Danio rerio: one gene and its partners. The main gene of each other region encodes a partner of the protein of the gene in region 3 in a complex. Links are inferred from orthologs where the notes say so. Each region holds a gene or a part of one and is shown on either strand. Other genes may lie near its edges.

The links. Proteins that work in one complex are often made in the same cells at the same time.
Region 1: the proteins of keap1b (region 3) and fbxl17 are in contact, whole or in part, in a crystal structure (PDB 6W66), measured with the Homo sapiens proteins. The link is inferred for Danio rerio from reciprocal best matches to the Homo sapiens genes KEAP1 and FBXL17. Residues at the interface, in NP_036421.2 of Homo sapiens: His59, Thr60, Ala63, Ile66, Met67, Glu69, Leu70, Gln75, Leu76, Gln82, Lys84, Ala90, His96, Val98, Ala101, Ser102, Ser103, Ser104, Pro105, Val106, Lys108, Ala109, Met110, Thr112, Asn113, Gly114, Val122, Ser124, Glu126, Gln163; in NP_001156787.2 of Homo sapiens: Asp395, Arg397, Arg421, Lys423, Asn447, Gln473, Tyr475, Met524, Arg548, Asn572, Cys574, Leu575, Trp577, Glu596, Tyr598, Val600, Ser601, Asp623, Trp626, Lys628, Tyr647, Met651, Arg652, Val676, Leu677, Asp679, Cys680, Thr683, Leu684, Arg686.
Region 2: the proteins of keap1b (region 3) and ptmaa are in contact, whole or in part, in a crystal structure (PDB 2Z32), measured with the Mus musculus proteins. The link is inferred for Danio rerio from reciprocal best matches to the Homo sapiens genes KEAP1 and PTMA. Residues at the interface, in NP_001103775.1 of Mus musculus: Tyr334, Ser363, Arg380, Asn382, Arg415, Phe478, Arg483, Ser508, Gly509, Tyr525, Gln530, Ser555, Ala556, Tyr572, Gly574, Phe577, Ser602; in NP_032998.1 of Mus musculus: Gln40, Asn41, Glu42, Glu43, Asn44, Gly45, Glu46, Gln47.

The regions. Positions count from the first base shown.
Region 1 is NC_133183.1:1,641,004-1,648,634, reverse strand, and holds the start of fbxl17 (F-box/LRR-repeat protein 17), read right to left. Parts: upstream 3,917-7,631; 5' UTR 3,822-3,916; intron 1-3,821. UniProt on the Homo sapiens protein: Substrate-recognition component of the SCF(FBXL17) E3 ubiquitin ligase complex, a key component of a quality control pathway required to ensure functional dimerization of BTB domain-containing proteins (dimerization quality control, DQC).
Region 2 is NC_133181.1:32,298,824-32,306,312, reverse strand, and holds ptmaa (prothymosin alpha-A), read right to left. Parts: upstream 3,917-7,489; 5' UTR 3,817-3,916; coding exon 3,772-3,816; intron 1,477-3,771; coding exon 1,408-1,476; intron 1,314-1,407; coding exon 1,226-1,313; intron 1,104-1,225; coding exon 889-1,103; 3' UTR 266-888; downstream 1-265.
Region 3 is NC_133181.1:201,099-208,871, reverse strand, and holds the start of keap1b (kelch-like ECH-associated protein 1B), read left to right. Parts: upstream 1-2,687; 5' UTR 2,688-2,704; intron 2,705-3,798; 5' UTR 3,799-4,047; coding exon 4,048-4,362; intron 4,363-4,947; coding exon 4,948-5,193; intron 5,194-6,365; coding exon 6,366-7,042; intron 7,043-7,436; coding exon 7,437-7,642; intron 7,643-7,773. Other genes in the region: s1pr5b (sphingosine 1-phosphate receptor 5b), read left to right, coding at 1-467. UniProt on the Homo sapiens protein: Substrate-specific adapter of a BCR (BTB-CUL3-RBX1) E3 ubiquitin ligase complex that regulates the response to oxidative stress by targeting NFE2L2/NRF2 for ubiquitination.

The sequences.
Region 1 (7,631 bases), on a different chromosome or scaffold from region 3:
CACACAAAACAGTTTACTTGGAACTGTTAAACAGAGTTCAGGTATGATTTAAGGTTGGTTATGGATGGGGCGTCTAATTTAAAATAATTTAACATAACATGCGAATGCATATCATTAATATTACTGCCACAGTACTTTCTATACAAGTAAAGAGTCTGCAGCTTTATATGTCTCAAATGTGTGATTAGAGCATGTGCTGCTGTAATAAACATTTGAGAATCAACAAGAGCTAATCTATCCCTACTATTATTGCCACTAGTGTACCACAGTACTTTCTGCACGAGTAAAGGGTCTGCTGGGTAAGAGGGCAACTATAAGTATATATGAACATGTGTGATTAAGGTCAGCACCAATAGCCTAGTGGTTAAGTGCACCTCCATATAACACCATGGTGCTCACGGTGACCCGAGTTCGATTCCCAGCATGAGGGCCTTTGCAGATTTTTTGCATGGATAAAGTGTCTACAAGACAACAGGGCTGCTTTACAAATCTTTTAAATGTGTGATTAAAGCATGTGCTGCTGTAATAAACAATGAGAATCAACAAGAGCTAATCTATCTTGCTATTATTGCCACTAGTGTACCACAGTACTTTCTGCTTGGGTAAAAAGTCTAAAAATTGAGTATAAAAATCTCTGATTAAAGTCAGAGTCAATGGCCTAGGGGTTAAGTGTGCCAACATATAGCACCATGGTGCTCACAGCAACCCGAGTTCGATTCCCAGATTGAGGTCCTTTGCTTGCTCTTCCCCTCTCTCTGCTTCCAACACTTTTCTGTCTGTAACTTCACTATCCTATCCAAATTAAAGCTGAAAAATCCTTTAAAAAATTATTATAAAAAAAAATGTGTGAATAAAGTGTGTGCTGCTGTAATAAACATTAAAAATCCACAAGGGCTAATCTATTTGTACCATTATTACCACTAGTGTACCACAGTATTTTCTGCATAAGTAAAGAGTTTAAAAACAGAGTATAAAAATCTATGATTAAAGTCAGAGTCAATGGCCTAGTGGTTAAGTGCGCCGACATTTAACTCCATGGTGCTCACAGTGACCCGAGTTCGATTCCCAGCTAAAGGCCCTTTGCTGACCCTTCCCCTCTCTCTGCTCTCAATACTTTCCTGTCTGAAACCTCCACTATCCTTCCCATATTAAAGGTGAAAAACCCTTTAAAAAATTATTATAAATAGAATATGTGATATAAGCGTGCGCTGCTGTAATAAACATTAGAGTAAACAAGTGCTAATCTATTCATTCCATTATTGCCTCCACCACAGTACTGTCTGCATGGGTTAAGAGTCTACAGGACAGATTTATACATCTCAAATGTGTTATTTAAGTGTGTGCTGCTGTAATAAACAATGAGAATCAACTAGAGCTAATATATCTGTACTATTATTGCCACTAGTTTACCACAGTACTTTCTGCATGAGTAAAGAGTCTACTGGACAGGTTTTTATTTCTCAAATATGTAAATAAAGTGTGTGTTTTGCTGTAATAAACATTGAGAATTAATCAAATGTGGGATTAAAGTCAGCACCAATGGCCTAGTGGTTAAGTGCGCTGACATATAGCACCATGGTGCTCACAGTGACCCGAGTTCGATTCCCAGCTAAAGGTCCTTTGCTGACCCTTCCCCTCTCTCTGCTCCCAATACTTTCCTGTCTGTAACCTCCACTATCCTTCCCATATTAAAGGTGAAAAACCCCTTAGAATAATTATTAAAAACTGTGTAATAAAGCGTGTGCTGCTGTAATAAACATTAAGAATCAACAAGTGGTAATCTATTAGTCCCATTATTGCCTCTACCACAGTACTGTCTGCAGAGTAAGTTACTTGACGATGTTTAAATGTAAAAGTCATTACTGCAGGAGTTTCACAACACAAAGCTGAAATAATAGCACACAAATGCAACAGCATAAAGATAAAGAAATATAAATATACAATCTCAATGTCTAATAATGTTTTATGCACACAATACCAAGTGATATCTTTGGTTTGTAATCATGAGGACGATCATCTATCAATGCTATTATTGCCACTAGTGTAGTCTAACAATACTTTCTGCATGTGTAAAGAGTTTACAGTACAGACTTATACATCTCAAATATGTTATTTAAGCGTGTTCTGCTGTAATAAACAATGAGGATTAATCAAATGTGGGATTAAAGTCAGCACCAATGGCCTAGTGGTTAAGTGCGCTGACATATAGCACCATGGTGCTCACTGCGACCAGAGTTCGATTCCCAGCTTGAGGTCCTTTGCAGACACTTCTCCTCTCTCTGCTCCTAATACTTTCCTCTCTGTAACCTCCACTATCCTATCCAAATTAATGCATTAATTTTTTTGTAATAAGTATTATTACAAAAATAAGTGATGCAAGCGTGTGCTGCTGTAATAAACATTAAGAATCAACAAGGGCTAATCTATCTATTCAATTTTTGCCTCTACCACAGTACTGTCTGCATGGGTGAAGAGTCTGCAGAGTAAGTTACATGATAATGCATAAATGGTAAAGTCATAACTCCGGGTGTTTCACAACACAAAGCTGAAATAATAACACACAAATGCAAAAGCATGAAGATAAAGCAATATAAATATACAATCTATCTGTCTAATAATATTTTATGCACACAATAACAAGTGATGTGAAGTCTTTGGTTTGTAATCATGAGGATAATCATCTATCAATGCTATTATTGCCACTAGTGTTATTTAACCAATATGTTACTTAAGCGTGTTCTGCTGTAATAAACAATGAGGATTAATCAAATGTGGGATTAAAGTCAGCACCAATGGCCTAGTGGTTAAGTGTGCTGACATATAGCCATGGTGCTCACAGCGACCCGAGTTCGATTCCCAGCTAAAGGTCCTTTGCAGACCCTTCCTCTCTCTCTGCTCTGAATACTTTCCTCTCTTTAACCTCCACTATCCTATCCAAATTAAAGCTGAAAAAACTCTAAAAAAATAAGTATTATTACAAAAATATGTGTAAGTGTGTGCTGCTGTAATAAACATTAAGAATTAAGAAGGGCTAATCTATCTATTCAATTTTTGCCTCTACCACAGTACTGTCTGCATGGGTGAAGAGTCTGCAGAGCAAGTTACTTGATAATGCATAAATGGTAAAGTCATAACTCTGGGTGTTTCAAAACACAAAGCTGAAATAATAACACACAAATGCAACAGCATGACGAATAATGTTTTATGCACACAATACCAAGTGATATCTTTGGTTTGTAATCATGACGATGACAATCTATCCCTACAATTATTGCCACTAGTGTACCACAGTACTGTCTGCACGAGTAAAGAGTCTACAGGACAGCTTTATACTTCTCAAATGTGTAAATAAAGAGTGTGCTGCTGTAATAGACATTGAGAATCAACAAGAGCTAATATATCCCTACTACTGCCACTATAGTGTACCACAGTAGTCTAACAGTACTTTCTGCATGTGTAAGAGGTCTGCAGGACAGATTTATACATCTCAATGTTATTAAAGCGTGTTCTGCTGATTGAGAATGAACTAGAGCTAATATAAGTACTATTATTTCCACTGGTGTACCACAGTACTTTATGCATGTGTATGAAGAGTGTACAAGACAACAGGGCTGCTTTATATATCTCTCAAATGTGTGCTTAAAGCGTGTGCTGCTGTAATAAACACTGAGAATCAACAAGAGCTACTGCTGTCAGTGTTGACGGAGCGGACTGTTGTTGTGTTTCATTGAGTGATAGTAGCGGGCGACGCCATTAAAACTCCGTCCTAAGAAGATAAGCAGGACTCGGTAAGTGTGCTAATAACCCCCGGCGGTGCTCACCAGCTCACGCGGCCCTCAGCAGCTCCGTCCCGGGCTCTCATAATCCGCACGACACGCTAACAGGAGCGAACGAACCGCGGTGTCAACCTGCTACTATATTTCAAAACACTTCCGGATTTCAAATAACAGAGGAAATCCCGCCCACCGCTCTCTATTAAAGCGGGCTGTCAATGGCTGGAGCTGCTGTCTGTATGGAGCGGATGGCCAATCATAAGCGCTTTTAAGAAAACTATTTGAATAAAACTAAACATGCTTGATTTGCGTTTGTTTTTCTTTTTTAAATTAATGTTTGAAAGAATATAATAGCTTGCAACAATCGTGAGACACATCTTCATACACCTCCAAGTCTAAATAGCAGTAAGAAAAATAAATATATGATAATTAAATAAAGAATCTGCATTCATGAATGAAGTCGTGGGCCAACACCACAATATTCAGTCATACATTTTCTTTTTGGCTTAGTGCCTTTATTAATCAGGGTTTGCCACAGCGGAATGAACCGCCAACTTATTTAGCATATGTTTTACACAGCGAATGACTTTTTAGATGCAACCCATCACTGGGAAACACCCACACACACTCATTCACATACACACTCATTCACACTTATACACTAGGGCTAATTTAGTTCATCAGTTCCCCTATAGCGCATGTGTTTGGACTGTGAGAGAAACCGGAGCACCCGGAGGAAACCCACGCCAACACAGGGAGAAGATGCAAACTCCACACAGAAACACCAACTGATCGAGCCGGGACTTGAACCAGCGACTTCTTGCTGTGAGGTAACAGCGCTACCCACTGCGCCACCGCGCCACCCACACCACAATAGTATCAACCAAAAATTTAACATCACAATTCCTATAAAAAGACAACTACCCAGGTTGCACAGAATTCTGCCCAGATTTGGCTCTTTTTTTTTAAGGCGGCACACAATACTTGGGCCAGATGACAAATGTAGTATTTGGGCCAGATGTTAAGGATTGATATGTAAATCTTGACCCCATTTAATATACATTTTTATTATTTTCAAATAAAGAAAAAAAATCCTACCAATCAGGTCGCTTCGAGAAAAAGCATGCCCACAGTACGCCTAAAGCGCACTGCTTCATGGGTTTATCAATTTCATTACAGTGCCCACAGAGCAAATGTTTTCTGGCCCAGCTCCGGCCCACACAATAACTTTTTTCCTTGGCCCAACTACCACAAGGAATAACGGTCCTGAAGTGGCCCATAACTGGATTAAAGACTGAAGCTCTGCACAAGACTTTTGGCCAGCGGAGAAATTAAAATGGTCGTGCCCAACTGAGTCTGGTTCTCTCAAGGTTTTTTTTCTTCACTCCATCAGGTGAAGTTTTTTTCCCTCTCCGCTGTCGCCACTGCCTCGCATGGTTCAGAATTGGTAGAGCTACGCATCGATGAATTTGCTCTTCAGTGTTTGAACTCTTAGTAATGTTAATTACTACTTACTTAGTAATGATTAAATCACACTGAACTGAGCTAAACTGAACTGAACTGAACTTAAACACTAAAACCTGAACCACACTGTTCCAGTTACTGAACCGCACTGTTCCAGTTACTATGACCATTTATGTGAAGCTGCTTTGACACAATCTACATTGTAAAAGCGCCATACAAATAAAGCTGAATTGAATTGAATTGAATTGTTTAAATCACACTGAACTGAGCTAAACTGAACTGAACTTAAACACTAAAAACTGAACTACACTGTTCCAGTTACTATGACCATTTATGTGAAGCTGCTTTGACACAATCTACATTGTAAAAGCGCTATACAAATAAAGCTGAATTGAATTGAATTGAATTAAAGACAAGGGCCACACATGGGCCATCACCGGCCCAAATCTCACCCAATTTATCACCCTTAACTTGGCTTGAAGTGGGCCAAAACAGGTTTATTATTGGTACGGATTCACAGCTATAAGTTTATACTTTAACCAGAAACCCCAAACACTGAGCCCTAACCCAGCCTAATCCCAAGTAGCAAAATGTTCTGGGCCAGACTTTGCATAAAGCTGGCACAGCAGGCATTCGTCCGGCACTGGCATGCAGCATGTGGGCTAAACATGGCCCAGGTTAGGCTGAGGTGGCACCGTCTTACAGACGGCACTCAAGACTTGGGCCAGATGTCAAATGTAGTATTTGGCCCAGATGTTAAAATGTATATGTGGGCCACGTAAGTTTGGCCTAGCCCACTTTTAAAATGCATTTAAATTATTTTCGAGTGAAGAAAAAATTCTACCAATCAGGTCACTTCAAGAAAAAGCACGGCCATAAAGCGAAATGCTTCATGGGTTCATAAATAACATTGCAGTCGTGACACACCAACATATCTAGCCCAGTTCAGGCCCAGTTATGAGTTATTAACTTGGCTGAGACTTGGCCCAGATATGGTCCATGTTTGCGTCTTGTATGGAAGCCAAACTTGGTCCATTCATGTACCGTAATTCACTGCGGCATGTGGGCCAAGCAAATGCTGATCGTGTGGGCCAGATCTGGGCCAGAGAAATTTTGCTATGGGGGATGTTACCTAAACAATGTGAACAATCGCTACACTGATCTGGGCCACACACTTCCCATTCACAACTGGCCCAAATGTAGTTTGCCGTCTTGCATGCAGTGCCATCATTGCACTGCATGGCACACATTTGGCTGACATTATGCATGCCAGTGCCGGCAACACGCCAGCAGTGCCATAATGAGGCCACATTTGGGCCAAGTCTGTTTGTTATGTGGGCGTGACACACCAACTTATCTGGCTCAGTTCAGGCAAAGAGCTTAGAATGACTAAGAGGTGACACTCAATAGAGCGTTCCATTGCAACAGCAGCGTCCAACAACAGCTCCGGATTTCGCCATTTTGGAGTGAAAGCAATCGGCTGTCAATTGGATCTTATTGAGGTCGCGATGGCAAGCAGCTGCTTTGTTTTTTATTTATTTATTTAAAAATCGCATTAAAGCTGAGATACAACCTGAAAGATGACAATACAACACTTACTATCACGATCATCAGCACTTTCACTAGTTTATTTTACAGACTTATAATATGCTGTTGTTCTATTGGAGTTTTTATTCCACAATGGCAGCTTCGCCATCTAGTGGCTGTTTCCTAAATTGCACTAGAGTGTCGCCTCTTGGTGATTCTATGTTGTTTGGTTCAGGCTCAGTTATGGATAATGCCCAGACTTGGGCTGCGTCCGAAACCACATACTTCCATACTATATAGTACGCTAAAATCAGTATGCGAGCCGAGTAGTATGTCAGAATTCATAGAATTCGACAATCAGTATGCGAGAAGTACCCGGATGACTTACTACTTACTGCAAGATTCTAGTGCGCATCCCATTCACACTGCGCTATCCCATGATGCCCTGCGAGCGAATTCATGAATGGGAGTAAAGCGACGCAATTGACGCAGGTAGGTCACATGACCATGCCAAAATGGCGGATGTAGTACGTCCGAATTCCATTCATACTTTTCACGTTCATACTGTATAGAACGCACTTTTCTAACAGCCAAGTAGAACATTTAAATTCAAATGCAGTACCTACTGAGTAGTAGGCGGCTTCGGACGCAGCCTTGGTTCATGTTTGGCTCTTGTCTGGAAGCTAGACTTGGTCTAGCTGTAATTCACTGTGGCATGTGGGCCAAGCAAAACCTGAATGAGTGGGCCAGAGCTGAGCCAGAGATACTTTGCTAAGTGGGTATTTTACTGTCTTAAAATCAAGTACTTCATACTTTAAACTTAACCATGTATAGAAATTATCCTAACTTTCTATCTATATCATATAG
Region 2 (7,489 bases), about 32 Mb from region 3:
ACACTGTAAATGTGGCCCCAAGAAATGTGAATATAAATGAAAGAATTCACACAGTCAATTTTATTTAACGCAATATAATTTATACCAGATCTTGGAGATTTAAAGGCCTGAATAATTTACATTGATGTACATTTATTTTTGACAGGCTGATGAAAGAACAAAACATGAACTGCATCTGAAGATGACGCTGGTTCAATTATTCTTGCCTATACAGCTCCAACAATAGAAACAGACGAAACGGAAAAAAAAAGGATGGGAAAAAAAATTAAGAAGTCACAAAATAAATTTCGGTTTATTGTCGCACAACAAATTTCACACATACATCAAACAGGCCACAAATAGATAGCAATTTAACAGACAAGAAAGAAAAGAAGAAAATTCTTTTCCTTTGACTTTGCCCTCTCATACAATCCAACTACGTATGATACAACTGATGTACATACACAAAGTTACTGGAATGCTTTGAATTAAAGATTTTTTTTGTGTGTTTTTCAGTCATTTTTCATTTCTTTTTTTGCTGTGTTTTTTTACAAGTTTCGTTTGAGATAACATGACATGGTCAAACCACAAGTAAAATCTATTTCATAGAGAAGCATCAACTTCAAAGCACCGTTTGGTAACCAGAGATCACTGTCAAAAATGGCTGACCTCCTAACAATATGTACAAAAATATAAAATGTAAATAAAAATACAAACAAATTTTTCCTTTTAAAGTATTTTGTAAGAAGGTAGAGCTTTGAAGTCTTGGTTGTTTCTACAAAATCTGCAGTTAGGTGTGTGTACACGGATGCTGGACTCTACTTGATGATGACCACGTTTTTTTGACCCCTCCCCTGATGAACAAGTTAAGGAAAGGAGGGATGAGAACATTTCCAGCAGTGAAGCTTTTTACACATCAGTCTTTTGCTTCTTGGGATCAACATCATCCTGGAAAAAAAGGGTCAGAGTTACACACTGAAGTCGTTTGGTCAGCCTGAGGAATTTACTTTTATCTGAGGATTTCAGTAACATAAAGTGTAAACTTGCCTCATCATCATCATCATCTTCAGCCGCTCTTTTTCCCGTTCCACCCTCAGCCTCCTCATCTTCATCATCGTCATCACCTGTAATGTGGTAATACCTTAGTAATTCATCTTTATTTACACATTTTGGTTGTCAATTGTTTAAACCCACAGCAGATGTTTTAAAAGCTTTTTTTTTTTTTACTTTCATTAAATAAACATACCTTCTCCATCATCCTCCTCATCTTCTTCAGCCACATCATCGTCTTCCTCATCTACTTCATTTTCTGGATCTCCATTCTCCTCGTTTTCCTAAAATAATAGCATTATGGGTTATTAATGGTCGTACTTGAGGTCTTTTAGTACTGAAAACTTTATGTTGTGAAGTAATTATTTGGAATCGTACCGCATTTCCATTCGCGGGAGCATCCTTTCCATTTTCCGCCTCCTCAACCTGTTTCTTTTCTTTGAGGTCCTAAATAAGGAACAAAATATTTCTCTGTAAATTCTTTGGTTGCTTCTCTTAACTAAACAGCGTGAGCAGAGCTAAATTCACATCCTCTCATCTTCGCGGAACGTGTTTTCATTTCACATTTGAAACGCGACACTTTCTCTCTCTTTATTCATTGGACGCCTGTCTCTTCCATCCCCGCCTGGTTTAAAGACCATATTGAGGTGTTGTAATTTGATACGGCGATGGCGTTACCGCCAAAGTGCGCTGTAGTTCAGTTTATTATCCACATCATTACGCTTGATGAAGACACGCCCGCTAAAAAACTACAACTCCCAGATCACAATTAGTGAGTATTTTAAGTCAGCCAATAGGAGAGCGAACTCGACCGAAAAGAGGCAGGACCGATAAACCTCAGAAAAGGAGAGAGTGAGTGAGTGAGAGAGAGAGAGAGAGAGAGAGAGAGCGAGAGGAGGGGGAACAATAGCGTTGTGCATTAAGGCCTTTAATAATTCGTCTTTTTCGAGCACTATACTATTGTTCTCTCGAGAATGACCATTACTATTAAGATGAGCAATGCTATTTATCTAATTATTTAACACGTTGAATCTCCGTATAAAAGCGCATCGTCCCGAATACCAGGATGTGCTTTCATGCAGCAGCTCGCTCGCATTAATAAATTTAGGTCATAATCCTCAGCTTTTAAGCCGGTTAGTGTCCACAACACGCCTGCAACGCCTTCTCACACACCGTCACCACTACATGCCGCTTCACAGCGTCAGTGAGCCGTACATGAATAATGGACATTTGCCACTGTCTACGAGATAATACTGACCCATTTATTGATCAAACAAACAATGTGGGCAGTAAGCTGAAGCGGAAATCATCTCCGTCTTCCGTAGGCAAACAAGAGATGCAACAAAGGACAAACAGGTCAAAATGTTGTGTCCACAACTGGAGTAGGAGATCCTCGTATGACACCAGTGAGGACACCAGTGAGAAGCGCGCACTCGGCTACATGCACTGAACGGGGCCGTTCACCAGCGCGCGGTCCTGCGCTCTCGGGCAGCCCGACGGAGCGCAGCGCAACGGAGATAGATGTAGGATCCCGAGATTACATTTTAAAAGATGAATGAAGCCGTTGCGTCCTATAACGCGGCGCTCGTGCGTGAATCGCTTGAAGGAGCATCACAGCGAGAAGCAACCTGCAAATGCGTCGATCTAGTTTGTTTGCAAATATAAGCAGCGTGAAACAGAGCCGCTGCCTGCACGGGTGCTCGTAACTTCGGGTTTCGCGCTCTCCTGCTGCGCTGCCCGCGCGCGACAATAGAGCTCATCCAGTCCGCCAGACTGCTGCATCCGCAGCGGGGTTTCGCCGGAGAAGTTTACGCACAAGCTGCGATCGCTGATAGAAGCAACTTCTTCATGTTTCGATACAGACTAACCAGTTCTTCCGTGAACCAAAAGAAGAGCCTCGTTTTCTGTTATTTCCTGTTAATTATCACCTAACGTTATCCCGACGCTGTGCAAAGTAGGTTCAGGTAGACTAGATCCACATAAATCTCATAAGCAGCTGATCAATCTTGTATGATGAACTCTGTTTCACCACAAAAAGTGAACTATAAGCCGAACTTGACAGAACTTAGAGGGCAACGTGAATTAAACCCTTGATAAAGTCCCGCTGAATGGAGCGTACATGTGAAGCAGGTTGGTTCTGAACATAATAATCCCAATGATAAATTTGGGTTTTAAACACTAGTCAAAAAGAAAGCAGCTCTAACGTTACATTAAACATCAAGGAAACGTGCTATAAACAGAGGCATCAGACATCGTGAGGGCTGCGGTAAGTTGTGACAGATCGAGCTGCGGGCTGACGAATCACCGCGTCTCGCGGACTCTACGAGGCTCCGTCAGTATATCCGAGTCTGTATTAAGTAATAATCAAACTCGAGCAACTAAACCAAATGAGCAGACTGGAGATAATGCCTACGATCCTCTGCGTCCATCTCTTTCACTATACTTTTTAAAGAGGAACCGAAAATCCTCCTGCATAAACAAAGACCCCGCGCAGAATACGAACAAAAAGCCTTTTAGTTGCAAATGTGTCCGTAAAAATCTCCACTTCACGAATTTACATCCACGAAGTCTTCAAAGTGACAGTGAGAGGACAAAACACCTACAAAAAATTGCCAAGAATATCCCAATAAAGCTGTATGCTGATTTCCATTCCACAATCCATATTTCATACAGCTCGTCTGCTCATATGAATAAAAAGCAGCATCTTTACAAATCAGTGTAAGCCGAAGTTGTATTCATTACCTTTGCGGAGACGTCCTTGTTGGTATCGACTTTTGTGTCAGCCATTTTTCCTAAATGTTAAGATTATAATGGGGTCTCGGAATAAAATAATATAAAGAGAAACACGAGATGCGAATGATAAAAAAGACTACTAAGGGTCTGTAGCGAGCTCAGACGGCGGCAGAGCACTTTTATAGAAGGAAGGCGGAGCTCGGAGGCGGGCGCTGTCCATTGATTGGTCAACATGCCAGCGACTCTGCTTCGCAGATTGGTCTTGATGGAACAATGGACAGTATTTCTACAAAGTCGGACCCCGCCTTCAAACCAGCCTCTGACTCATTTATGTGTGGAATAACTGTCGATATATACTATCCTGGTCAACCTCACAATGATGGATGGCCTAGATGGACTCAATGGCTAAAAAAACAAAACAAACAAAAACAACAACGATTTCACAAAGAGAAAGCCAGCCAGGTCTAGTGTGTTATGCATGCTTCCTGATGTGTTATTACATTTAGTGACATTTAATTGTCATCATACAATATTTTATCACCCCGTTATTCATAAACACTATGTTAAAATTTCACAAAACGCTGTCTTGTAAACTATACAAACATGTATCTAATCAGTATGCAAGCACAGAGGTTACAAATACTACTAAAATGATCATTTATTTGTTTTAGGAAGCGCATAACCATTTTCTTTATCTGAACGAAAGGTCACGCTGAATGAATATAATATTGCGGCAGTTTGTGGACGCCCCACTGGTGAAACCTGCTCAACATTTGACTGACAGTTCTTAAAACCCGCCTCTTTACCAATGTTTCCACTGGTAAGTGGGTAGCCTTTGTAAAATATTATCCTAAGGAGTTGTGTAGGGTTTTACACACGATATAGTTAAGAAATAATACAAAAATAATACACAGTTGGTTCTTCTATTTAGAACAAGACAAAAGTCGCGATTTTAGATGCCTGATGTTAAGCGGAATCTCACTCGCACTTGCAAACATGAATGATTCGAATGCCTGATGAAAAACAACGGATAATCTCAGTAAACGCAGTGTTTTATAGACATACATTTCGTCGTTTAGATAGGTTATGAAATTTAAAATTTGCACGCTGCGGGGAAAATGTAATGGTGTACGTCTTTACCTCACCAACATGGCTGATTGAAATTCCATATGGCGTCTTAAAGTCTTCTTATTGGCCGATTGGGCCGAACGAACACAGACTTGACGCTTTGCGAGCGATGATTGGATAAAGCCAACGTCAATCAACTGAAGTATCGTTTTTTAAGGTGCTAAAGAAAACATGGAACTGGAGCGTTGTCTTTTCCCTTTTCATTTCTCCATTTTCATGTCAAGGACAGATAAAAGGTGTTAGCAAACACACGCTCAGGACTGGATTTTCGCAAGGGTAATTACTAACAGGTTACTTATTGTCATCATTTAGTCGACGCATTTATTTAAAGAGACTTGCAAATGAGACATATCCCAAGCTATTTATCTCACTAACAAAACAGTTGCAGTAGCGCTAAGTTTACAGAGAGCTGTAGTGTAGTAGCTACAAACGTTACAGAAGTAAAAATTATTATTATTATTTGCACAATACAGTATTTAACGAGGCATTAAAATGAGATTTAAAAACTGCAACCTTGTCATCTAATCACATAATTTATTTGCTTAATTACTATCACTAATAACTTTAAGTATACTTATCAGTATTCTGTATGCTTTGTCATTTAGCAGGCACTTTGCATTTGCTACAGTAACTGCATATATGGATCAAACTAAAGTTTAGTGCCTCGCTCAAGGGCAAAATGATGAGCAAAATCTCCCTACACACCAGTTCCTGGGTCACACTATTTGAAATTAAACCTGCAACCTTTGCATTAGCAGCATACACTCCTGACCATCCAGACTCATCCATTTGTCTCTGTCTCATGCATTTATAATCCGTCATTAAAGAAAACACAACTGTTACATATCAACTACTCGTTCAGTAATGGAATGAATAAATGTTTGATGGTATGAAATTAAAATACAGTACATTCATCAATCAGTTCTAGACAATCTGGGATGATTCTGCACAAGTTATAGTCCATTTTTGGACAAAAATACACTTTTCGATAAAGTTATTTAAAGAAAAATAAGAAAATCATATTATTGTACTGTAAATAAGTATTACAATTATAAAACTACATAATTTTAGGATGTAATTTTGTACTAATAATACAAAATAAAAAATAATAGTAAATGCAAAACTGTTTACTATATCAAATACAGTGTGTTTAAAGACATTTGCATCTGCCAAAATTCTCATCAATGTAAAGATCTGCAAAATGTTTGTGACACCCCCTGGAGTGCTGAAACAATCCTTCACTCCATCTCTCTCTCTCTAGCAGATCATTCTCCACCATTACCTCTGCTATAAAGCTACTGCTACAACAAACTGTGAGAGGGATTGCTCAGTGATCTCTGGCATCTAAATGGAGTCTTTTCCTGTCTGCAACAATAATAACCAATCTGGAAATCCCCCTGCTTTGCTGCCGTCTGGTATGGTTGGTCACGTGATTTAACGCAGTCCCAGGGGCTCAGAGCCCTATTGCCCTGGTCTCTTGGATGGTCCTGTTTACTTACACCATCTTATTGCTGCTGAGAATTCACAAATGGCCTCCGGACTAAAATATGGTCATCCCCTGTTCATTACTGCCCAGGTCATCTAGTAGCACAAAATATCGAGGAAGAGTAATTGGATTAATTTAGTATATTATTATTATAGATTTGTTAAAGATGTTCTTGGTCTTCTATAACACACACATGCACAAACACACAGATATATGCGCTGTGCACTTGTATACAGTCTAGTTTATAAACTGTGTATATACACTCACCGGCCACTTTATTAGGTACACCTGTACAACTGCTCGTTAATGCAAATTTCTAATCAGCCAATCGCATGGCAGCAACTCAATGCATTTAGGCATGTACACATGATCAAGATGATCTGCTGCAGTTAAAACCGAGCATCACAATGAGAAAGAAAGGTGATTTAAGTGACTTTGAATGTGGCATTGTTATTGGTGCCAGATGGGTTTGTCTGAGTATTTCAAAAACTCCTGATCTACTGGGATTTTCACGCAAAACCATCTCTAGGGTTCACAGAAAATGGTCTGAAAAAGATAAAATATCTAGTGAGCGGCAGTTCTGTGGGCGCAACTGCCTTGTTAATGCCAGAGGTCTGAGGAGAATAGCCTGACTGTTTTGAGTTGATAGAAAGGACAAAGTAACTATGTTCCATCCACCTATATTCATGCACATTTTAGTTATGCGCATAAAAAACGGTTGATGGTAATGCCAAGATGTGCATACATTTTAAAAATGTAAATAAAAACGTATGCACATAACTGAGTAGGATAAACTTTTTATTTGATAAGAAAAGATGCACATAAACTATGATGGAAACGCTTTTACCGTACAAATTCCAGGATGTGCATTAAACAAAGGTCATGTGATTTTGTTATAAGAGATTAAAATGTGTGAATGGACAAACCAGCAGGCTGAGCATACTAAAACATCTAAAATGTTGTTTTAGTCATTCTAAAATGCCTTAACTATCTAATTATTAGTGTAATTTTATTATTAATTACCTCCAAAATCAAGAGCGACTTTGCTCCACGTCTCATGACTTCAAACGCCACCACGCATTCACTGCATGTTAGTATTGCCTTCTGAGGCGC
Region 3 (7,773 bases):
TGTTCTGCGTGTCGGTGCTCAGCGGCGTCCTGCTGGCCATCGTGCTGCTGTACACACGCATCTTCCTGTTGGTCAGGGCGCACACGCACGCACACACACACACGCAGCGGTCCCGCAAACACATGGCGCTGCTGCGGACGGTGGCGCTGGTGCTGGGCGCCTTCATCCTGTGCTGGACGCCGCTGTTCGCGCTGCTGCTGCTGGATGTCTCCTGCCCCGCCAGAGCCTGTCCAATCCTCTTCAAGGCCGACTACTTCCTGGGCGTGGCCATGCTGAACTCGCTGCTGAACCCCGTGATCTACACGCTGAGCAGCAGAGACGTGCGCAGCGCCGTGCTGAAGCTGCTGTGCTGCCGCTGCACACCGGACACACACCGCCACGGCCTGCAGAACACACTCTCATCCGCCAACGCCACGTCCATACACAAGTCCATCTACCCCAAACTGCGGCTGTCCGTCATCACCTGACTCTGAGACACACACACACACACATGCGCACACACACACACACATCACGTCACACGGCAGGAACTGAGCAGTGTTCTGGACACCAGACTCACACGGGGGCAAAAAACCCTTTCAGAAGCCTCAAAGGAGGTCAACACACACACACACACACACACACACACACACTCACACACACACACACACCTGCAGATCTCTATCAGCAGATGTGTGTTTCAGACTGAGTGTGATGAGCTTCAGAGAGAGCAGATGTCCTGGCTGTGGTGCTGTCTCTGCTCTGGCTCCACAGCGCTCAGCAGCAGAACTGAGGGTCAGCGCAGCTGGATGAGCTCGTGATGGACTGAGCAGACTGCGGGGTCTGCGGGGTCTGCGGGGTCTGTGGGGTCTGCGGCCGCTCGTGTGTCAGCGCTGTGGGGACGCTTTACTGCTTTAACGTGTAAATAAATGATGTTCTATTTTATTGTATAATAAATCATGTATGAATAACCCAGACAGAATATAACCTACAGCTGCTTCATATGTGTGGGTCAGTTTATCTGGTGTTCATCACTTATGAGGACCAAATGTCCCCACAAGTATAGCAATACCAGTAAATGATCTCATGGGGACATTATTTTGGGTCTCTGTGAGGAAAAAGGCTGATAGAGCCGGCAGAATGGAGGAGTGTGAAGGTGTGTGTGTGTGTGTGTGTGAGGGTTGAGGAGAGAGGAGACGAGCTGCCAAAATTACTCCAAATATTTCTGGGATGGTGATCATCAGAAGAAACAAAAACTAAAAGCTCAGAACACAAGTGTGTGTGTGTGGTGTGTGTGTGTGTGTGTGTGTGTGTGTGTGTGTGTGTGTGTGTGTGTGTGTGTGTGCGTGTCGGAAACCAACAAACACATGTGGGTGACTGCAAATTCAGCTGTGCGTCTGCAGAGGGGCTGCTGTTGCACACATGCACACACACACACACACACAAGCACACACACACACAAACAAACATGGAAACACCACAGAGCTCACCTTTACACTGTTTACCGTAAACAAACACACACACTCAAACCAACCTCAGAGCCGTCACACCTAAACCACGGGCATCTCTCAATCGCTCACACTCTCTCTTTCTTACCCACACACACACACACACACACACACACACACACACACAAGCTTAGTCATCTGTCAAAACTGGAACTTCTCATGAAATATTAAAATAGAGATGTGAAGAGTGTGTGTGTGTCTCTCAGCTTCTCCTGACCAGTGTGTGTGTGTGTGTGTGTGTTGCTCTGCCGTGAGTGTCAGACTGAAGTGCAGTAGAGTGTGAGTCGCTGCTCCAGTAGACGGGCACGTCAGAGGTCAGAGGTCAGCTGTTCACAGATTGGGCTCTTCTACAAAGATTTTAATGTTTATTTACTCATTAATGAAAGTCAGACTGGAGAGGCAGTGTGTGTGTGTGTGTGTGTGTGTGTGTGTGTGTGTGTGTGTGTGTGTGTGTGTGTGTGTGTGTGTGTCCTTCAGTGTAAAATGTTAATTGCTGAACACACACACACACACACATAACTCTGCATGTAGTCCTCCATCTGTCGCTCCGCTCTGCTCACTGAGAGCCGGACTGTTTTACTGATCGTGTTTTGGATCCAGTATAGGCATGAGATGTGTGCAGCTTCAGCTCAGCTCAGCTCCTCCTCTGATGATCACACTGGAGCAGAACAGAACAGAAGCTGTTCAGTCAGCTGAACCACAGATCCCAGAACAGCCAACAGCAGAACAGCTCAAACACAGCCCAGCAGCAGCCCGCTCTATTGACCTGTAGCGACACCTCGTGTCCAACATCAGTACTGCATCTCACACACACACACACACACACACACACACACACACACACACAGGCCAGCTAATGCTTAGTCACGCTGAGTTTCTGCTTTCAGTGGGTATGATACACACACAAGTACACACACTCACATACACACAGAAGTGCTCACACACACACACACACACACAGAGAGAGAGAGAGAGTGTCCGTGCGCTGCTGCTGATGCCCGTGAGTGTGTTTTCATTGTTTACTGTGTTTAATCGACATTACTGCCGCGTTTGTCAGATCTACAGGCTCGTGTTGATGCAGTTTCTGATGTACAGCTGTGAGGATGAGGATGGCGGCTTGTCTCCTTATTGATGAAGATCAGCTCATGATGAACTTTATTAATCTTCATCTTTATTCCTGATTGATCACTGTGTTGTTTATGGAGGCTTATAACGCGGTAAGAACATGGTAATAACACGAATAAAGTGTTTTGATTTGAGGTCGGCTCGCGTTTCCATCAATAATTTAAAGCGCGGGTCGCGTAGCGCTGAACTTTTCCTCAGCCTCGGTCTGTGGTTTCCCGCTCGGGCGCGGCGCCGCTGCTGAGTGTGGCCGGATCTGCGCTGCCGGGGGCCGGTGCCGTTTCAACTCAAGCCCGGGGATCTCAGGCCTCTCGCTGTTTATGTGTATTTACCGCGCTTTGTGTTCTTAGTGTTATTATAAGAGCTGAAAACAGCGGAAATCAAATTAAAGCATGACTGTAGAGCCGGGGTGAGGAGGATAAACGGAGATAAACACTTCAGTTCAGCAAATTGACAGAAACACATTAAAATAAACCTAGCAGACAGCTGGAACCACACACACACACACACACACACACACACACACACACACACACACACACACACACCTGCTGCATATATATTTGCTCTTTTAAACTACTTATTTAAAATGAGCTGAAACAACACAATTCTTGAGGTTTCATTTGTGAGAACTTAAATTTCTTATGTTCAATCCACACGCATTTGTTAAATGTGTTGAGTTAACTCAATCGACTTGTGTTGGGTCAAGATGAATGAATTGTGTGGAAGCCTGCATTTTTAACAGTGTGTGAGATTCTGTTTACCTGTACACACACTCATAAACAAACAAAAACACACTCATAAACACACACACACACACTAAGTGTGGATCAGAGTGTGTTCTGGTTCACTGACAGCAGGACAGTGTGTGTGTAGTCAGTGTGTGTGTATGTGTGTGTGTAAGCAGAAGATAGACTCCTGCTAACGACAGGAGGAACTCCTGAAACTCATTAGTTCTGATCAAATCACTGACGAAGATCTGATGAACCAGTCCTGAGTCCAACAGAAGAGAGAGTGTGTGTGTGTGTGTGTGTGTGTGTGTGTGTGTGTGTGTGTGTGTGTGTGTGTGTGAGAGTGTGTGTGATACTCCTGATCATTCATGGCAGAGTGTGTTATCGTAGTCAGTGGTGAATCCTCAGTGTTTGTTCTAATCTCTCTCTCTGTGTGTGTGTGTGTGTTTCCCCCTCAGGATTCGCGTGCAGACACAGATCAGCAGCTCTGCCCTCCTCTACAGACTGACTGACAGGCGCGTGTGTGTGCGTGTGTGTGTGTGTGTGTGTGTTCACACTGGTCAGGAGAACACAGATATGTGAGCGTTCCTCTGCGTGTGTTCCTGCTGGTGATGAGCGGTGTGTGTATGATGTGTGCGTGTCTCTAACACAGGTGTGTGTGTGTTCTCGTGACCGCTGCGCTGGCGAGTGAGGATGTGCCCGCGCTGATGTTGGCGGCGGCGGGCATGACGGAGTGTAAGGCGGAGGTGACGCCGTCGGCCAGCAATGGGCACCGCGTCTTCAGCTACACGCTGGAGAGCCACACGGCCGCCGCCTTCGCCATCATGAACGAGCTGCGGCGCGAGAGACAGCTGTGTGACGTCACACTCCGCGTGCGCTACTGCCCGCTCGACACACACGTCGACTTCGTGGCGCATAAGGTGGTGCTGGCCTCGTCCTCGCCTGTGTTCCGCGCCATGTTCACCAACGGCCTAAAGGAGTGCGGCATGGAGGTGGTGCCCATCGAGGGGATACACCCCAAGGTACCAGCACACACACTCACACACACACACACACACACACACACACACACACACACACACACTAGGAAAAAATAATAAATGGGAATTTGGATTTGTAGTGCAGTTTTCCCAGCTGTGTGTGTGTGCGAGTGTGTGAGTGTGTGAGTGTGTGTGTTTGTGTGAGTGTTGCATCATGATACAGTGATGGTCTTGAATGTGTACAGCTCCTCTCCTGAGCTCCAGCACACACACACACACACACACACACACACACACAGCTCAGTGGTCAGGTGATCAGTGACAGCAGCTGTTCTCTCTCCTCATTTCCTCCTCCAAACCTGTTTGAGTTTCTGTTGAACACAGCGGTAGATGTCCTGGAGGAAGCAGCTGATGACTGCAGCAGTGTTTCTGTTCCTGCTGTGGACGTCAGCGGCTGCTTTCCCAGCATTCCTCAGAGTATCAGAGACTGATGAAGCTGTAGAAGCGCTCGAGTGAGGAAAGGAGGAGGACATGTTCATTATAGGTGACCTGTGCCTTTCAGTGTGCCCACTTCAGAAACGGTGTGTGTGTGTGTGTGTGTGTGTGCGTGTGTGTTCTTGTCTCCAGGTCATGGGCCGGCTCATTGAGTTTGCGTACACGGCGAGCATCTCAGTGGGTGAGAAGTGTGTGATCCACGTGATGAACGGCGCCGTGATGTACCAGATCGACAGCGTGGTTCAGGCCTGCTGTGATTTCCTGGTGGAGCAGCTGGACCCCAGTAACGCCATCGGCATCGCCAGCTTCGCCGAGCAGATCGGCTGCACGGAGCTCCACCAGAAGGCCAGAGAGTACATCTACATGAACTTCAGCCAGGTCAGAGCGGCCGACGCACACAGGATAACCGCTCTCACACCCCTCACACACCAACACAAGAGTTCAGGCCTCAATAAGGGGCTTTCACACCCACACTTCTGTTTCGGAACCGTCCCGTTAGTCCAGTCAGCGCGGCTCGTTTGGCATATGTGAATCCAGCAATTGTGCTTGGATCTGCACCAAATCAATCAGTCCGAGATCGCCTGACTGAGGTTCAGTTAAAACTCTGGAGCAGATGGACTGTAGTGAGAAAGAGAAATGATCTGAGCCCGGCGGGATCACTGAGGATTCGGGCCCGCAGAATTCTGCAGATGTTTAGCTCATCATTGATTCTGTCTATTCACTTGAGTTAGTGTGTGTACATCTGTACTTATTCTGTAATATTATTGACTGATCTGAAAATGTTGATCTGATTTATGTACAGCGCAGTGTGCAGTCATGTCTTCAGGAGAGATATGATACGAGAGACTGGCTTTGTTTACCAAATAAAGTGGATCTGTATGGATTTGCATTGTAAACATGAAATTAAAGTTTAAAGGGATTAGTTTTAGTTCATATATTAGGGTTTTAGTCATGATACTCCTAAAATAATTACACATAAATCCGCAGATTTTGAACACAATTTTGTGCAGAAAAAGCAAAACCGTGTGCAGATTCCGCCTGGGCAGCTCATGGGCATATACACGCTACATATATGAGTAAAATGTGCGTTTCATGTCAAATACGAAGCGAAGCTCGAGACAAATGTAGACTCTGGAAAACATTTTCCCGCGATAAGACGCAACTACAGAGGAGAAACCATCTTCCCAAGGAGAAACACAAGAACAAGAACAATGTTTAATCGCAGCAGGTCAAACCGTGACTCTATAGATATTTCCCGGTGTGTGGAGCGTTCCCTCTGCGTGTGCCTGTAAGTGTGTTTGGGCACTGCTAACAGTGTTTTGGGTCTTGTTCTTGTGTTTCTCCTTGGGGAGATGGTTTCTCCTCTGTAGTTGCGTCTTATCGTGGGAAAATGTTTTCCAGAGTCTACCTTTGTCTCGAGCTTCGTAAGTGTTTCAGTCTGTGTTGTTGTTTTGCACCACCGTACATCCCCCTAACCCAAACCCCCCAACAGCATGCCCTCACCACCAATACCCCAACTCTAACATGCGCGCGCGGTGTGTGTCCTGCAGGTGGCGACGCAGGAGGAGTTCTTCACCCTGTCTCACTGTCAGCTGGTGACCCTGATCAGCCGGGACGAGCTGAACGTGCGCTGCGAGTCGGAGGTGTTCCACGCGTGTGTGGCGTGGGTTCAGTACGACCGTGAGGAGCGGCGTCCGTATGTGCAGGCGCTGCTGCAGGCCGTCCGCTGCCACTCGCTCACGCCGCACTTCCTGCAGCGGCAGCTGGAGCACTTCGAGTGGGACGCGCAGAGCAAAGACTACCTGTCACAGATCTTCCGGGACCTGACGCTGCACAAGCCCACCAAGGTCATCCCCCTGCGCACGCCCAAGGTGCCGCAGCTGATCTACACGGTGGGCGGATACTTCCGGCAGTCGCTCAGCTTCCTGGAGGCCTTCAACCCCTGCAGCGGCGCGTGGCTGCGGCTGGCGGACCTGCAGGTGCCCCGCAGCGGGCTGGCGGCCTGCGTCATCAGCGGCCTGCTGTACGCCGTGGGTGGACGCAACAACGGGCCCGACGGGAACATGGACTCACACACGCTGGACTGCTACAACCCCATGAACAACTGCTGGCGGCCCTGCGCACACATGAGCGTCCCGCGCAACCGCATCGGCGTCGGCGTCATCGACGGCATGATCTACGCCGTGGGCGGATCACACGGCTGCACACACCACAACAGCGTGGAGAGGTGAGGAGGAGCACACACACACACACACACACACACTATATCAGACTGTTCTGCATCGCATCGTCTTAAAAGTGTGCACTTTATTACTGAAGACACACTGCATACTTATGAGTGTGTGACAGAGGAGTGTGACTGAACAGTGTGTGTGTACACATTCCACTTCCTCATTAATGGACTGCTCTGTTGCTTAGTTACGAGCCCTGTCAATCATCAAATTAAATCAAAGTCCTTTCAGTGTGTGTGTGTGTGTGTGTGTGTGTGTGTGTGTGTGTGTGTGTTGGACAGGTGTGTATGGGCTAGTCAGATTCTTCCTGACAGTAATCGGCCAGTGCAGGTCTGTAGGGGTGTGTGTGTGTGTGTTCACTCTCTGTGTGTGTGTGTGTGTGTGTGTGAGGTATGACCCGGAGCGGGACAGCTGGCAGCTGGTGTCGCCAATGCTGACGCGGCGGATCGGAGTGGGCGTGGCCGTGATCAACCGGCTGCTGTATGCGGTGGGCGGCTTCGATGGGACGCACCGGCTGAGCTCCGCGGAATGCTACAACCCCGAGCGGGACGAGTGGAGGAGCATAGCGGCCATGAACACAGTCCGCAGCGGCGCAGGTGACACACACACACACACACACACACACACACACACAGTTTGTGGACCCACAGCTCTGCCTGACCCGCTCAGTCCTGACGGTTAAAGGTCACCCAGAGCCCATGTGTGTAACGAGAGTCCTGGTGTGTGT